Oryzias latipes: one gene and its partners. The protein of the gene in region 1 purifies or fractionates together with the protein of each later gene. This does not show direct contact. Links are inferred from orthologs where the notes say so. Each region holds a gene or a part of one and is shown in the gene's direction. Other genes may lie near its edges.

Region 1 (5,925 bases):
TTTTTTTTTTTTAGCAGAACCAGAATCAGGCAGTCCCCAACTCCGACCCATACTCCAATACAGTATGTGGCGGTAATGCACCCTGACGTTGGTGCCTCCCGCTATTTAAACTACAAGAAGAAGAAGAAGTACTTCCGCCCCCATTCGCGCATGCGCTTTCTAAACCATTCTGTTTTAGTCGGGGTTTTTTCCTCACCAAGTACTTCGTTAAATTTGAAAGTTGATTCTTTACTACAAATTTTCGCTTATCAACAATAAGTTATGCGGGCGCTGTGGTTAGTTGCGGTTGCGGCGCTGTCTCTGAGTCCCGCCGCAGTGAACGGAGCCGACAAGAAAAAGCTGCAGATTGGCATCAAGAAGCGCGTGGACAACTGCCCCATCAAGTCCCGAAAGGGAGACGTGCTGAACATGCACTACACCGGAAAACTGGAGGACGGCACCGAGTTCGACAGCAGCATTCCCCGCGACAGACCCTTCACCTTCACCCTGGGCACCGGGCAAGTGATCAAAGGCTGGGACCAGGGCCTGCTGGGGATGTGCGAGGGGGAAAAGAGGAAGCTGGTCATCCCCGCCGAGCTGGGCTACGGAGACCGGGGAGCTCCTCCGAAGATTCCCGGGGGAGCAACGCTCATCTTTGAGGTGGAGCTGCTCAGCATCGAGAGGAGATCTGAGCTTTGATGACGAGAAGGAAGGGAACTTTGACAGGATGTAGCAGGTGGGATTATTAGCTTGACTGTCTGGTGGTCTTTGATTACTCTTAGAACAATATTATAAGAAACCTGTGAGGTTTTTATTTATTTATTTGAACATGTTTGGTCCCACATCCATAACACTATAACACCTGTCATGTCTTCCACTGTTTTCATTTATTCTGGTTTTGTCTTCCGGTTCCAGGTGCTGCTGTTGCATTAAGGAGACCATGATGGAAACTGACATACAAGTCAAGACTTCTCAGCAGAACCACAACTCTTTATTATGAGCTGATCATGTTTTGGACTTGCTATGTAGCAAACTGTCAGCCAGCAGCTGGGTTCATCTTTTCTAAAGAACTGTCCTGCTTTTGAGCAACGTTATTCTTAATTTCTTATTTCTTTGATGCAAACTCTAATACATTTCTGATTTGTTTAGGTAGTTAAATTTACATTAAATCAATGAAAGTGAATCAGTGGAACAGATTAGGGGGGAACATTTGTGTTCACTTTGTTCCAAAAAATAAAATGCCACCCTGTGTTTAAATTGTTTCTTTTTTCTTTTTTTTTTTGCAATGTATTAATTTTTGAACTTTGAATGTTTAAATGTGTCAGAAGTCAAAAGCAAGAAACAGATGTGATAAATCTGTGCACAAGACTAAAAGTTTTCTCTTCTGGACAGTTAGTAGGCATTTTGCATATAGTAGAACTGTTAAAGTCAAGAAGGATGAGTAACAGTTTTAAATACTAACATTTATCTAATGTACATTTAAAAAAAATGTGAAAAAAGTAAGACAGAACAGAATAAACTGTTGTAATCAGGCTGCAGCCAATAGCATGGTTCCACGTTTCACATATAGTCTGCAGCTGGAGTATTGCAGTGCAATACTATGCAAAGATGGTGCAATTCTGTGTGCCCTTGAGATGGAATAGCTTTGCATAAAGGTTTCTGAATGAATCTCAGAAACTTTACAATATTTTCTAAAAGAGTAAAGAAAAACCTGTAAAGCAAATATCAATTCAGATTTAAAAGCTGGTGATTTTATTTTAAAGAAGAAAGATATCCAAACATTTGAAATATAAGGTTTTTACATTTTTGTAATTGGCAACATATACTAACCTAAAAATAGACTTTTGTAAGTGCCATCTTCATACAACAGAAAATACTTTTTTTTAAGTTCCTCGCCAATTTTTATGAGGCTTGAGCTTTTATTTATTTCAAACTTTGAACAAACGTGACAACTATAACCCAGGCAAAACTGAACAAAACGCCCAAAAGAAGAAAGCAATAAATCTATCAATAACAGGAAAAACAAAGTTAAAGATATTTCCTTTAATCACAAAGTTAAAAGCATGAGTAGAAAAAGAGCATCACCAATAACTCATCGTATTTAAAATTATGTTTCCAACAACAAAGACTGTCAGATGTCCAGGTCAAATATCCACCCGGAGTCAATAAACGAGCGCACAACCGGAACTGATACCTCTCACGCTAACACTGGTTAGCAGTTACGCGGCTTTTTGACCGTTTGCATCATAATGTCTGTTAAATTAAACGCTTTACACAGCGATTCTTACATTGAAGTTAGTCAGTATAGGGACCAACATTTTAAGGTAAGTGAGAAATGAACGTAGAAGTCATATGAGTTGTTTTAGACCCATCAAGCTAGCAAAACATGTGAAAACAAAAGCGCGGTTATGCTTCATTTTAAAATTAAATTGATTGCACCAATAATTTTGCTCCTTGTCAATCGCTTTAGTAAAGTTACAAAACAAACATGTTATTCTCTTAATTACACCGCGTTTTAATTGCTTGCATTGCTGTTTCTTAGTCCAAATTCAATATAAAAATAATAAAGCTTTTGCTACACTGAAACAATTATTTTTCTGTTTCGTTCGTTATTTTCGTTGTTTTGATGGATGCATAATTTTACTTTAATTCAAATCAAGCTTTAGAAGATATAGAACCTTTTATAAATGAATCTTAAAAATATTTAAAAATAAAAAAAGGGTGCTACGTGGACAACAAGAGGCAGCAGCACAAGAAGACCCAAGAAAATAAAATCTATAGTTAACATTTCGAATGGGCAATAAATTTATAGATTAGATTTATTTATTTTAACCTTCCACTTTTAAAATGCCTTACACAGGTTGATTTATAGCTTAAAGAAATAAAGGAGGTGAAATAAAAAGGTGTTGTATTTTTTTCGTGCCAAATGTCTATTAATTGTCAAGTGTTGACAATTTTTCATTGCTTGTTCGGTATTAGGGGAACCGTTATGAACAGGAGAAGCTGCTGAAACAGAGCAACACTTTGTATGTGGGGAATCTGTCCTTCTACACCACTGAGGAGCAGGTGAGATTCTTCAACTCTGCTTCAGACTGATGTGAAGTTATGATCTCCAGTCCTGGTAATGAAATAATTAGGTCAATTTTTTTTTTTTTTTTTTCACGTCTTAAGTCTTTTTTTTTTAAAATTAATTTCTTTCCTTTGGTGACTTTTTAACAGGTTCATGAGTTGTTTGCTAAATGCGGAGATGTTAAGAGGATCATCATCGGCCTTGATAAAGTCAAAAAAACTGCCTGTGGCTTCTGCTTTGTAGAGTATCCTTTTGAACAACCAGACATGGATGATTTATCTTCTATGCAAAGGTAAAAATGTACATTTTGTGATTCCATCTCCCTAAATAACATATGACTTACATTATTTGATAAATATTTTTGTCATCTTTTAAATAATTAAGACCTCATGATTTGTGTTGTGGCAGTTACTTTTCTTCATCATTTTGGCAAAGCTCCATAGGTATCTACATTTACACCATTTAGGCTCTAATGAGTTTGTAAAACACACAGCGAGTATAGTAATTTAAACCTTAACTACAGTTATAGTAGGTATTCTGTTAATGTTCACTCTAAAGTGTTTTTGCTTGTGGTTACAGAGTACAAACTTAGTTTTATTACATACCTTAGAACTGTTTAAATGTAGAAATTGTTTTGCATGAAATCTATCAAACTTATTAAGAAGCCGACAGTAACATCCCAGTGCAGCCCAAGCCGACTGAAGCTTTTGTTAGAAAGGATTTAACTGCTGGCGTGCCAGATATTACACACGAGGAGATGCAGAAAACGCCATGCGCTTCGTTAATGGCACACGGCTGGATGATCGCATCATCAGGACAGATTGGGATGCTGGCTTCAAAGAGGGCCGGCAGTACGGGCGAGGAAAGTCTGGAGGACAGGTGAGATATGGTTAAAGTGTCTGTGAAAAGTCCAAAAGTGTTTGTTGATGCAGTTTGCGTCACAAAGTACATACGTCTATGAAAATGTTTGATTGTTGTCTCTGTTTTTGTGTAGGTGAGAGATGAGTACAGGCAGGACTACGATCCTGCCAGAGGAGGCTATGGGAAGCTGGCGCAGCAACAGCGGAGCACAGAAGCTCGCAATACTTTTTAGACCAAGTCTGAGTGTTTTGATTGGACTTCATACAGGACTGAATTTATTCCCTGATGATCAACAAAAAGCAGGCAGTGTCCAAAGAGATCTAGGACTTGGAGATGAACAGAGAAGGAATAAATCTTCTATGAATACCATTTATTTCAATCTGATATCATCAGTCAAATCCATTTGAAATAGAATGTTGTTGTTTTTCTTAACAATTGAGACATTTTGTTTAGGTGTAGTGAATGTGCATTACTGGGGTGGAGCTTTTATTAACTCTTTTTTTTGTCACCAGTTAGTTACAAAACTATTTTCTAAAATTGTTTTATGATTCTTTTTGAGTGCAGTTAACATTTTCTCTAAATTGAAAAACCTGCAGCATCTCACTCCTATTTCTCTTATTTGGAATTAAAGAAATATAAAGGGTCATACCAGACTTTTTTGTTCAGTAGATAATAAATTATCCAGTGAATTATTTTGAAGAAATGTTTTTTTTCTGTTTCCTTTTTTATTTTTTACCCTTCTGATTGCAATTCTCTAACAAAGTTATAGCTTTGTTTAATTGGGTGGGTTTTTTGTGTTTGTTTTTCTCTTGTGGTAAGAATTCAAAATGTTAAATTTATTTTGTCTCTGTAGACTTTTTATACAATAAACACATTTAATTAAACTGTCAGTTTTATTTGTAAAGCTTTTGATCATACAAAATGGATAATAAATGAAAAAATTCATTGAATATTATAATCCACGTAATGAATTTTATAAAGGTCTGAAAACAGTATGCTATTAACATTACTTAAATATTTGCTGCAATCTCCTTTATGTAAATGAGGATGCATCATTTAAGTCTATGCTAAAAGAAATTTTGCTTTTTTTGATGATTTTCTTTTTAAGAGAAGTTGACTTTTTACAATTTTCTTAAAGCTGTTGTTAGTTCTCCTGTTTTTCACATGGATTAACCTTTAAAAAAGTCATCCTACCTAACATTTAGTTATAGTTTTCTTCACACCAACCATGTGCCAAAAGTTCCATTTTTGTTTTCCCCTCTAATAAAGGTAAGCTCAGGATGATTTTATAACTCTTGTGTTATCCTATCGGGTCAAGATGACCATTGACGTGTTCTCCCTACCGTGATAAAGGTGGAAAGATTTCATGTAATCCATGGACACCAGTGAAGATCACAAATCATTGAAGAAAAAAGGTTCAGCGCACTGTCTAGTGGGTCTAGATGACCCAACTCCCAATGTTAAAGTGCCTAGGATAGCAAAAGGGTTAAGTAGTAAACTGATACTTGGTTAAAAACTGAACACAAGGTGGCAGGAGCGTAGCAAAAGTTTCTCCACCATATTTGCTAGAGCCACAGTCCCAGTTTCTATTTGGATTTCATATTGTCAATGAAGAACGATAATCTCTCTGGATCAGGGTTGGATTGCTTACTTGCTTTTATTGTTTGAAAAAAAATACTTTATACTTGTTCCAATATCTCTCAGCATCAGTAGTACATTTCACAATTAGAGAAGAATATGAGACAAATTTGGTTATTTACCTATTTTTCTAGATTTAAAGTAGCTTTAATAAGCTAGTTTCTTGTTAATAATAAAAAGAAAAGGCAATTTGTAGAGAAGTGCCTCATAGCTCTGACCCTAACAAAGTCCAGCCATCACTGATTGATATCTGATCAAAACAGCTTTAAGTGTCTACATTACATACATGCTTCATTGCAACAAATTTGTGGGTTTTTGAGTTCTCTCTGCCTGGAACTAGTTATAACACATCTTCAAGCATTTATCAAGATTACCGA
Region 2 (5,947 bases), on another chromosome or scaffold:
TTATGAAATATTAATTCAGTGCCATGTTTTTGTTGGTTTTCATAGACATGGCTGGCTCTTATAGCAGACAACTGTCTCTATAAGTTGTCAAGACGAACAGGACAAACTTGTTTTACAGGTAATCTGTAAAAGGAAACTGCCTTGCATTCTGCCCTGAAGCGTTTATCCATTTGCAGCATTGTATTTAAACCATTTTTATCTATTTTCTTTAGAGAATTTATACATTTTCACACGTTTTCATGCTAAATATCCCATTTTTAATTGTTGCAGCTGCATATCTTTTATTTTTTTATAGGGCTGTACTGTTTTAACCAACCATATTGCTTTTAAAATGCATGATTAAAACAAAAATATTCCAATCAATATTTTTAAAACAACAAATCAACACTTTTATAATAGATACTGGTATAAATGTTATCGTCTTTTGTAATGTATTTTGTAATGACTCATAGGTCTTTGGATCAAAATTCCTTAAAATGCTTTCATGTCAAGTCTGCGAACCAAATAACTACATTATTATTACATGACATTATTTACTCATTTGTTTGTTTAATCTGATATCTCGTGAGCTGTAATTGTAGCACTTGTCTCTTTTCTTTGAGTTACCACGATGAGTAAATTTTTCCCTGTGAGATAAATAAGGTTTAAAGACCAAAAAGACAGAGCCTTAAGGATTTGGTTAATAACAAAGCTTGATATAAGCTTTTTTCATCATCTAAAACCCCAAAATCAAGCTTAAACAAATTAGGAGACCTTTTAAACTATATTTGGTTAATAAAAAGCTTGCCACACAACATTCCAGTTTTTATTTTATTTGATTTGTATTTGTCAAAGGCATCAAAACTGATTTCACAGCAGTTTCGGTTTGGTCTCAAACACGAGCTTTTAAGTTATGAAATGGTGAGTTAATCTTCACACGAGTCTATAAATATTGTTTACATATATCTCCACACCTCAACTTAGGTCCAACCAAACATGCAGGAAAATATGACGTCATCGTGGCTGAAAACTTTAAAAAGACAACTTCTCAAAAAAGTTTTGAAACGATTTATTGTTGCTTCAAAACCTTTTTTCAAAAAATATAACATTTTGTATCTAAAACACAACAGACTTGTTTTTAAAAAAATTATGAAAGGTTATTTAAAAAACGGAAAATGTTTTCAAAGTAAGAAATCACCTTCTTTAGCTGCAGATTGACAATCAAGCAGATTTTTAAAGTCAAACATGAACCAGCTCTGAAACTGCTATAGACTCTAAAAACTTGTAACGATGATTTCGGTTTTTCCTTTGGTGTTTAACTGAAAACATTGTCTCAACGGTGGATAACTGGTCTCTTCAGTGGGATCATCATCATCATCAGTTACCAGAACTTGTTGGCGGGCAGCATCCTCGCAGCATCCTCTCTCTGCGCTTGCGGGCAATACTTGCGCGTGTGAGCGCGGTCTCCGGTGGCCCCGCAGATGGGACAGGTGTAGTTTCGGAGGATGGGGCAGGTGACCTTCCTGTCGTCCGACCTGAGCGCGTGCGAGCGGTAGACCTGCCGAGTCTCGCCGTTCTGCTTGCAGAAGCGGCAGTAATCTGCGGGGCTCCCGCCGCAACTGGTGTCCGAGAGGCTGCTGACGGAGCTCGTCTCTGCGGAGCTCTGCGTCTGGATGATGCGCCACGGCGCCGCGGGTTCCTGCTTCGGCTTCTCGGGGTCGACCTGCCGCCGGTTGCACAGCCTTTGCAGGAGTGCGCCCAGGTTCATGTAGTCGTGCCACATGTCAAAGCAGTCCTCGCTGAGGACGTGCGCGCTCTGGACATCCACAGTTGTTTGCACCGAGGCCATTTTTGGAACACAAATTTCGATCAGTTCCAAGTTAGTCTGGAGAGTTTTAAATTTAAATACTTTCAAAATAAAACCTGAAACAATGATTGCAGATGTTTGGGCACTCAAAGGCTTTGTTCTTCAGATTATTTTACAGGTGTATCAATTCGTACTTTTAGGAATAAAAAGGAGGTTAAATTAGGCTAAAAAAACTAATTTAAGAGCTATTTTTGGGATGCAGATTTGAATGTATGCGCCAATTAGGCCATTGTGTTGGTTCTGTCTATTGCTTAGCTTAATTTTTTTATGTCATGATCCTAATTTCTTTTTCCTTTGTTGAGAAGTATCACTTTTAACATCTGTTAATCTTTTGCAGCCCAAACATTTAAGGCCACTTCATCATTTGGATGGACACGGTGTCCACCTCGGGTCATTTAAAGACCACAGGCGCCGGATCGTCTAGTCAGGGCCACTTCAAAAACATTTAAAAACACACCTGCACGCGGGCAGGTGTTGCACACACGACCCCTCCTTGAAGTTTGAAAGCACGATTTCAGCCATTGATTGAACTGCGATACCCACATACCGACTGTGCTTCAAAAAGAAACTCCATCATTAGAGTTTGTGTCCATTTTTTTTGAAAACCGCACAACTATTCACTTGTTTACCAGGGCCAGCTCCTTGTGTGGGTGGAGCCAAAGGAGCGTCACTGAATACGTTTATTTGACGCATGCGTAGTGGCATACCGGCGACGGCAGCAGAAGCAGTGGCTTAGCGATTTAGGGGATTATAAAACCTAAACTGACAGGTATGTATAATGTATCTACACATTGTTGTTCTATACTTTTACCGCTTTTAGATTACGAATAAATGATTTTAGTATGTGTGTTTAAAAGTTTGGTGACAAATAAGCTGTTAAAAGGCATGTGTTACTCGGGGTTTTCAGCTAAGCTAACGTCAAGCTAGCTCGTTAGCAGCAGAGGCTAGCAAGAGCTGTGACATCAACAAGCTAATCATGTGGGAAATTAAGTAAATAAGCATTTTTTACTATAGACTGTTTGATGTCTTGATTTCTAATGAGAACCCATATCTCTCTATAAATAGAAAGAAAAGTCATTTGTTCCACAGTAATGATTTTGGTATTGGGCAAACATGCCGAAAGCTAGCAAACTATAAAGCTAACTGCTACAAGCCCTTCTGACAATCTTGAGTAATATGTTCGAGACGTCTGAAAACGACCTGCATTCTTGGTTTTGCTATACATTGCGGTGATTGTCATGAAAACCTGAAGAAATACACAGAAGAATGTAAAAGAAAATACAGACATTACAATACATCTACAACATGTGGGTTTTCCAGGATCTGTAACACTAAAGTTCTGCACCACCGGGACTACTAACGAGACTAAAATTCTTCATTTTCTCAGGCTACAAAATGAGTCAGGGGAAGGATAATGCACGACTGAAGAGCTACAAGAACAAGTCTCTCAACACAGATGAGATGAGAAGAAGGAGGGAAGAGGAAGGCCTGCAGCTCAGAAAACAGAAGAAGGACGAACAAGTAAGTAAAGTGTAAACTTTATATTCATCCATCAAACACAATAATTTAGTGTGTTTTCCTAGCTTTTTTCCCCCCTCATAAATTGCTTAGGTTTTTACAATATGGAATTGTGTTACTTCCATATAAGACAAGTAGAAGATATACAAACTGGTAACAGCAGTTATTTTTGTTATGCTGCTTCTTACCTAGTCAAAGTACATATAATAATAAAACCAAAAGATGCTGTACTATTTCTTTGTACAACTTTAAGGACTGTGTCTTTGCAGCTATTTAAAAGAAGAAATGTTGCCACTGTGGAGGATGATGGTGCCCTGGAGGATGATGGAATGGCAGATAGTGGTTATCTGGAATCCCAGGCTAACAACATGGACCCATTTGGGGTGAGAATTAGCTCAATAAAACCTTTTTTATGGTGTTGTTTGTTGCATCTTTCACAATAAATTTGACTGATCTGTTATTGTTTTTACTATGTTCTGCAAAGGGTGGGGTCATTTCTGAGGACATGATTCAGATGATTTTCTCCAGCACTCCAGAGCAGCAGCTAATAGGCACACAACGCTTTAGAAAACTCCTTTCTAAAGGTAAAGGTCTAGCTGAATGCCAGCCTGTTCTATATCGCATAGAGCGATGAACAAATGCATCAACACATTCTACTGTTTAACTAGAGCTAAACAGCCTTGTAAGTTATCTAGAACTAGAAACAATCTTGATCATGTTCAAATTCAATTTGCTGCATCATCTTCATTTCTTTCATTTTTTTTTAATATTACAAAAATAACGAAAGACTGTTCTGATTTGATTTATTTTTAATTTTTAATTAAATAAAAATTGTCTCAATTTTTGTCTCCAACAGAGCCCAATCCACCTATTGATGAGGTCATTGCCACTTCAGGGGTGGTGGAGCGTTTTGTTGAGTTCCTAAAAAGAAGAGAAAATTGCACATTGCAGGTAAAGTGGTTTAATGCCTGAACAAATGCAGCTAGTCTAGTAATCATGAGCTATAGTGTTTTAGATGGAGTTTTTTTTGTCTGTCCTGACATAAATTGGTCGTGTTTTTCTTAGTTTGAAGCTGCGTGGGTTTTGACCAACATTGCTTCAGGCACATCCCACCAGACTAGGGTCGTAATCCAGGCAGGAGCTGTTCCCATATTCATAGAGATGCTCGCCTCGGATTTTGAAGATGTGCAAGAACAGGTGAGGGACATTTTTGTTGTCAATATTTATCTCTTTTCATATTCTTATTTTCAAATTATTACATATTTCGTAAATTCGTTTTTTTATGTCTAACTTGAATTATTTCCTCTTCTGTAGGCAGTGTGGGCTTTGGGTAATATAGCAGGTGATAGCACAGAATGCAGAGACTTTGTCATAGACTGCAATATTCTACCATCCCTGATCCAGTAAGTAGCAGATTATTGTTAAACAGCTCTATGGTTCTCGTTTCACGTGAGATAAATATGAACAAGTCCATGTTTGAACATCGAACTCCTTTTTTCAGATTATTGGCTAAACAGAATCGTTTAACAATGATGAGGAATGCAGTTTGGGCACTGTCTAACCTGTGCAGAGGCAAAAATCCTCCTCCTGACTTCTCCAAGGTAATTTCTCAAGATGATACTTAACATGTCTCTCATTCCCAAAGAACAAGTTAAGTTAAAAACCATTGTTGGTAATTATTTACCGACCCTCCAGGACTTTCAGATGTTGGAATTGCACACTTGCAACTTTTTCTTGACATTGCAACTTTACCCAATCTCTGTAACTTGGAAAAAGTTTTACTTGTAAAACCCTTTCTGCCAATCAAGTTTAGAGGCTCAAACATGTACATCATCAGTCTAACCAATCAAAGGTGCCAACATGGCTGGTAAAATCTCTGTTCCCTCCACAAATCCCAGCTAAAGATTGTTTTTAGCGGCGCAGCCAGCTCCCAGCGGGTTTTGGTGTTGGACGGTGTAAAATCTACAGATAATAACGAATCTTGGAGACTCACATTTGTTCAACATAAGTGGCACGTTTTTTATCATAACTCACTACATCTCCCAAAGTTCATTGGGTTAATGCAACAGTATCTCTTTCTGTTCTAATGTAACTATATTGCACAACAAAAGCAAACATTAAACAGTCTTGGATACATTTTTACTTTAGAGCAACTGGAAAAAAAACAGCATTTTAAAATGTGTATGTCCTCTTACAGCCTTGTGTTGGAAATTATTGAAAAATGTCAGAACTTTTAACAAAACTGCTTCAAATTCAGGCTTTTTGTACCGCAACAATAAAAAAAATGCCTGTGAGGTCCTGGAGGGTCTGAACTGAAAAAGGAGCGACATAAGATGCTTAATTTTGTTTATTTCTCACTACTCTTGTTCTCATGTTCTCCATAGGTGTCCCCCTGTTTGAACGTGCTTTCTTGGCTGCTGTTTGTCCATGACACAGACATCCTTGCTGATGCATGCTGGGCACTCTCCTACTTATCTGACGGCCCAAATGACAAAATCCAGGCTGTTATTGACTCAGGAGTTTGTCGCAGACTGGTGGAACTGCTGTTGTAAGTAAAAGATAAAAATACAATAAAGATTTTGA
Region 3 (5,854 bases), on another chromosome or scaffold:
AACACACCTGCTAGCCGCAAAAATGTCCACATGTCAACATGCACACAAAACAGATAGTGTTCACGAACGCATACCTATGCCTTTAAACCAACTAGTGTGAAATCTTTCATTCATTCAATCATGCAAACTATTAGTGCAAAGGTGAGCTAACACCTGTGCTCAGGTGAGTGTTTATGTTCTTCTAAAATGGATGGTGGAATGTGAAAAGAAGGAGGAGGAGCGCCCAGCCACCCCCACACCCACACCCCCGCCGCAGCAGCAGCGGCAGCCGGAGCTCCCCCAACGCCACACGGGAACAGGCAGGGAACAACCGCCCCCCGGGCGACCAAGACCGCAACCCAGGCCAGGGCCAGCAGGACCGCCGCGAGGCCCCCAGAGCCAGAGAGCAGGGAGGCGCAGAGGGAAAGAGAGCGCCGCCCCAGCCCAGCCAGGAAAGCAGCCCCCCGCCGCGCCGGAAGAGCCCAACGCAGGGCCCCACCGGAGAGGGACGCCCACAGCCCCAGACGAGCACCCCACCACCACCCAGGAGTTCCGGGCATCCCCCCGCCCCGACCCCAGGTACGAGCCAGGACCCCCCAAGGGAGACCCGCTCCGCACTCCAGGCAGCCACCCACCCGGCCCACGGTTGGTCCAGGTAGGAGCAAGGCAGGGGCCCGCCGCCCCCCCACAGGAGGGGGGAACCCCGGGGAAAAAAGGGCGGCCCACAAGGGATGTTATAAATATGGCCCGACCAGGCTCGGCCATGTTGGAAGTTTGGCGGGGCCCAGCGCCCAGGGGCAAGGACCAGGACCCACCCCCCAGGGACACGAACACCCCCGGCTCAGGTGTAATATGAACCCCCCCACCGTGCGGAGAGAGCACCGCCGGGCCCAGGGAGCCGGCACCCAAGGGACACGGCCGCCATCGCCAAGGGGCCCGCACCCCCCACCAGGGAAGGGCTAGGGGACAGATGGACCCAGGTCCCACCTTCCTTGTAAAATGTGTGTGCGTGTATGGGTGTTTGAGAGGGTGTTTGTGTGCATGTGTGTGTGTTTATGTTTGAATGTATATATTGAAGGGGGAGGGGTGTGTGTACTAAGGGGGGTGCAGTTAAAATTGGCGAGTAGGGCACTAAGGGGACATCTCCTGATTACTCACAGTGATGTCCCCTCACCCTCCACACCAAGGGGCCCTAAATGTCTAAGGTGCGGTTAAAATTGGCGGGTAGGGTGCCAGGAGGACATCTGCTGCTTGCTTGCAGTGATGTCCAAGCACCCCCCCTACCAAGGACCCTACATGTCTAAGGTGCAAATAAAACCGAAAGAGGGGGGGCCCACTCCATACGGCAACCATAGGAGGGGGGCCACTCCCAAGTAGCCCCCCCCCAAGGCGCATCGCAGGCTAGACCCCCCACCCCCTCACCCTAATATGAGGTTATATAAGGAAGGGGGTAAGTTGGGGACAGCTGGTAGACTGTCCCCCGGTGGTCAAACAGCCGTCCCCCAGCCCACCCCCAGCAAAGGGGCCAGGGCCACCCAGCCCAGGGGCCCACCCCCGGAGGCGCCGACACCCCAGGCCCGGCACCACCCACCCCACACAGAGAGAGAGGAGCCAGAAAGCGTCGCCCCCCCCCGGAGCAAGCCCAGGCCCCCACCCCCAGACGCCGGCCCTAGAAGAGCTCTGGTCAGGCCTCGACGGGACCGAGGAGGCCAACCGGCCGAGGCAACCACTGATTGCCTCAGCGGAGACCCCGACCCGCTAGCCCCCCCGACCCGTACTAATAATGGGCCCCCCCTCCCCCCAGAACGCCCCCCCACAGGACAGGGCCGACAAGCCCCCCACCCCACCCCACCCCAGACCCCGCAGCCGAAGCGGGTGACACCCAGAGCGACCGGGGGCCCCGAGAGGGTTTCAAGCCAGAATCTGGCTTGAAACTGTACGGCTGGATAAAAACGGCATAATCAATATAAAAAGATCACTCTGAACGTTTTGCAAATAGCTTAAAAGATGATCGTACTGGGTCTTGTGCGGCTGCAGTTACGGTTTTGTTTTTATTCCCATTATACATCTGTCAACATCCTCTCCCACTAGCTTACAGTCCCTTAGATGCCCCACCTTACATTACCGGTGCAACAAAAATAGTGAGCAATACTGGAGCTATCCAGGTGTACAGTTTTGATCAAGATGTCAGCTCAGACGAGGAAAACAAAGACGTATATTGATCTATCTGTCTCAAGCTCAATTTTCTGTCCACCATCATCAGAAAAATGCTACAAGAACATGTTAGTCCAAAAGCAGGTTTTTATTCCAACTGTGCTGCATCCTGGGAGCCTTGGATACCAGGGACAGCCCATCGGGATGGGAGGGGTAAGTGGTGGGCGGTATGCTCTGACTCCTCCCACCCCTCCGCGATCTGCTACGATCACTCCTCCCCCTCCTCCTCTGTGGGGCCAACGGCAACAGCAGCAGCACAAGAAGAGCCGTGCCTAGTCTTTGACGGAGGAGATCCACTAAAACGGGAGTATATTAGCTAAAGCCCGCACAGCCATGGCAGAGAACGCCGGCTTGGAAAACCACCGCATCAAGAGCTTCAAAAATAAAGGGCGTGATGTCGAGGTGAGCTTAGACAAACCCGTGGTTTTTAAACACCACGAACGGAACCATTTTCAGGTATTAAAAGGGCCTCGTTTGCCCTGGCCCCTACTGAAACAGTTTGCTTACAAGTCAGCTAGCAAGCCATCAGGAAGAATTCGCTATGAAATCTGTCAATCTGTTCGATTGTGTGTAATAATATTTTGTATTCAAAGTGTTGTGATTGGGTATTGGTTAACACAATGTGTGTTACTTTAGTCCATGAGTAGCTGTGAACAGCAATCTCTCACAGAGTCAGTCTGATTAACGGTAGGCGACGAAGCTGTCACTACCGGCTAACTAGCTAGCTAGCTAGCTGGTTGGATGGATACCGGTCGCAGGCGGGGCTGGGCCTGGCCGGCTTCATCAGCGTTATATATACCGTATATTAGTGAACCACCAGTAGTCTGCGTCACTGTTACCTGCGGCACACACGGTCACCATACCTTGTGTAACAGTTGTAAATGTTGTAATCAATTTCCGGTCTAGGTCACATTTTTACCTCCTCCTGTCCTGGCTGATCGTTAGCTTGCTAACCTCATCAAGCTTGCATTAATTTCCAGGTGGTTCAGGTAAACCAGGCTACAAGGAAATAAACCCAGATCAACAATTACAATCCGTTTACTGTTTTCGTGTTATCTTTTAGTTTCAAATTGTACAAACAAATAAATTCTAAACGTAATAACTCTTCAATTATTAGTTTTTTTAATCTACCTAACAGTTTGGTTAACATAGTATTGACTGTTTGGAATTCCAGATTTCAGAATTGTACTTTCACACAAGTGTTTGATTCTGTCGGGTTTAGTGGTAGACAGTCTGTTGTTTTTGGGCCTCACAGGCTACTGTACCATCTAATCAAGTTTGTTGCTGCATCATTCTCATAACAAGTGAAATTAGGAGGACAAATCCTTCTGAATTCTTGTTTGCATTAGGCCTGCATGATGAGGCAACAGTCTGGATTAATTGATGTTAGGTTAGGTAAGAAAACAAAAGATTATTTCATTAAACGCATATTTTTGAAACTTTTTTTTCCACAAGATGTTTATCAAAGCGCTCTAGGCCAAAGGTTTTAATAACAATGACACACTTGTGCCTGGGTTATTGTGATCTATGTCTAATCCTGAGATAATCCCTAAACAAAAGTGTGTCTGAAAAATCCACCTCAGTGTTTGGAGTACCCCAACTGAACACACCAACACAGGTTGTTGTTTTGAAAGTTGGGTCAGGCTGACAAGCACATGGCTACCATGACACACAGACGGTGCCTGCTGCATTCCTGATGCTATTTCAGGAATCTCGGATGTCTGACCCTGGGCCTCTTAAAGCCCCAGCATGAACTGGACTTTTCAGTGGGTGACCCATACTGCATCAGGGAGAGACATGTCCATTTGAGCTTGTTTGCTTTTAAGTCAGCCATCCTGGATGTATTCTTTGTTCTTGTCACTAATACAGGAGAAGTAGAGAAAAGCTAAGAAGTATTGTATTTTATTGTATGTTTGCAGTGATTGGGAGGCTCCTCTCTTCTCCACTGCCCTCTTATTTATAACAGTTCCTGATTACGTGAGTGGCTATTTAAGAAGGAAACATGAACCTGTTTTTTAAGCATCACAAGATCTTAGGACATCTCCGTGTTTTGGATAAACAACAGGAAACCTGTTAATAGATCCGTGTGGTTCCCTGTTAGGTGCTTTCTGTGGGAATATGCGGCATCACTTTGGTATAACTGAAAATATGACCTTCAGGCTCCTGTCTGTATCCTAACAGACTAAACTGCAGGAGTGAATGTAAGTAAGATTCTGTTTTAAGTGAATACCATGGGATTTTTGTACGATGAGCGAAATTTAGGAAATGAGACAAAAAAGAAACAAAATTATGCAGAAAAGTGAGACCAACAGTGTCTGACGAACGGAAACATTGTGTAGGAAAAAAGGTGATGAGTGAATGAAGCCTCATGAAGCCTTACAGCACTCCAAACTTCAAGGCCTTGGTATGGAAAACTGTATGGAGTCACACACCAACCTTCCATAAAAAATTTACATGAAACAAGTTAAACAAACCGCATAGTGGTGTGTTTGTTGTGTATGAGAAATGTCTTATTTCTTTGTAGATTTATTTGTTAATTAATTGTACCGGCTCCATTTGTAGTCCTTCATGTGACTCCTAAATCATGTTCTGTCATGTTTGCTGTAAAGTCCTTCACTCCAGACATTATGCTTCCTATAAGAATATGATTTAAACATTTGCTTTATTTGATGCTGACCTCCCTGATTCTTTAAAAACACTGCTGCAGAGTACAGTCATGTCACATTTGCTTGTAGTACGACTCTAATTCACCCTGGTGATAATGATTTTGAAAAAGGAATGCATTGCTTTTTTAAATTGCAGTTTATGCTTGGCTAGTTTCCAGTATTTGCATAGCAGAGCACATAATCTAAGTGTTCGTGGTCAAAGGCAAAGACTGCAAAAAATACAAATTAATAAAATGCAGGCAGCTGCAGGTCAGCCATATGAATGTACACGTGTTGCTGATAGGAATTCGTTTAGCTGTAAACATCCATGCAAACATGGGGGTGGCAAATTTAATCAAGAAGACTGGCAATCGTTTGATTTATTAATATTACAGCTTTTTAAAAAAAAAAAAGTCTTGGTATTCTGCCAAACAGGTTTTTGGGTAACTTTTCATTTTTGTTAGAATTTTTAAGACAGTGCTCTGAACCTTCTTTCTTTTAATGATATGTGATCTTTACTGGTGTCCATGGATTACATGAAATCCTCTTCACCTTTTTCCACCTTTGTCAGAGTAGGAATAACAGGTCAATGTCAGGGTGGGGTCATTTTGACCCCACAAGATACCACAAGGTCTACAGCTTCGCGGGCCACCTGCAGGTATGCCCATTTTTCAGCCAGTATAAGGGTAGTTGTGACGAAGGCATTAGAGGTGCTGAATCTGGTTTTGCATTGTCTTACATGGAAAGCATCACCTTGAAGAGTCTCTTCTGCACGGTTTCGAAGAATGTCCTTTGAGATGCCCCACTTTGCCGCTTTCCTCTGTAAAAATCGGAAAACCACCTGGTGTTTCCGTGAATGTATACCCTGTCTCCAAAACCACACCAAATGCCCTCAGCTTCTTTTGAAGATTATTTGCAGTTTCTGTTACTGGGAAACAAAAATGGACACAAATATTTATCTCATTTTTCCTTTTAGTTTTGTTGTGATAGATTTAGTTTAGGATTTTGGGAAACCT

Evidence for each region. Proteins that work in one complex are often made in the same cells at the same time.
Region 2: the proteins of ncbp2 (region 1) and kpna1 purify together in Homo sapiens (affinity purification with mass spectrometry; 3 studies listed by BioGRID and IntAct, with this or other methods). This does not show direct contact. The link is inferred for Oryzias latipes from reciprocal best matches to the Homo sapiens genes NCBP2 and KPNA1.
Region 3: the proteins of ncbp2 (region 1) and kpna3 purify together in Homo sapiens (co-immunoprecipitation; 3 studies listed by BioGRID and IntAct, with this or other methods). This does not show direct contact. The link is inferred for Oryzias latipes from reciprocal best matches to the Homo sapiens genes NCBP2 and KPNA3.

What each region holds. Positions count from the first base shown.
Region 1 is NC_019862.2:17,993,223-17,999,147, forward strand, and holds ncbp2 (nuclear cap-binding protein subunit 2), read left to right. Parts: upstream 1-2,135; 5' UTR 2,136-2,228; coding exon 2,229-2,303; intron 2,304-2,958; coding exon 2,959-3,045; intron 3,046-3,198; coding exon 3,199-3,293; intron 3,294-3,789; coding exon 3,790-3,928; intron 3,929-4,043; coding exon 4,044-4,142; 3' UTR 4,143-4,797; downstream 4,798-5,925. Other genes in the region: peptidyl-prolyl cis-trans isomerase FKBP2, read left to right, coding at 262-678. UniProt on the Homo sapiens protein: Component of the cap-binding complex (CBC), which binds co-transcriptionally to the 5' cap of pre-mRNAs and is involved in various processes such as pre-mRNA splicing, translation regulation, nonsense-mediated mRNA decay, RNA-mediated gene silencing (RNAi) by microRNAs (miRNAs) and mRNA export.
Region 2 is NC_019878.2:17,888,414-17,894,360, reverse strand, and holds the start of kpna1 (importin subunit alpha-5), read left to right. Parts: upstream 1-2,499; 5' UTR 2,500-2,615; intron 2,616-3,233; 5' UTR 3,234-3,241; coding exon 3,242-3,367; intron 3,368-3,633; coding exon 3,634-3,747; intron 3,748-3,848; coding exon 3,849-3,948; intron 3,949-4,220; coding exon 4,221-4,315; intron 4,316-4,429; coding exon 4,430-4,561; intron 4,562-4,678; coding exon 4,679-4,767; intron 4,768-4,865; coding exon 4,866-4,965; intron 4,966-5,748; coding exon 5,749-5,912; intron 5,913-5,947. UniProt on the Homo sapiens protein: Functions in nuclear protein import as an adapter protein for nuclear receptor KPNB1. Binds specifically and directly to substrates containing either a simple or bipartite NLS motif.
Region 3 is NC_019879.2:9,657,897-9,663,750, forward strand, and holds the start of kpna3 (importin subunit alpha-4), read left to right. Parts: upstream 1-2,406; 5' UTR 2,407-2,526; coding exon 2,527-2,595; intron 2,596-5,854. UniProt on the Homo sapiens protein: Functions in nuclear protein import as an adapter protein for nuclear receptor KPNB1. Binds specifically and directly to substrates containing either a simple or bipartite NLS motif.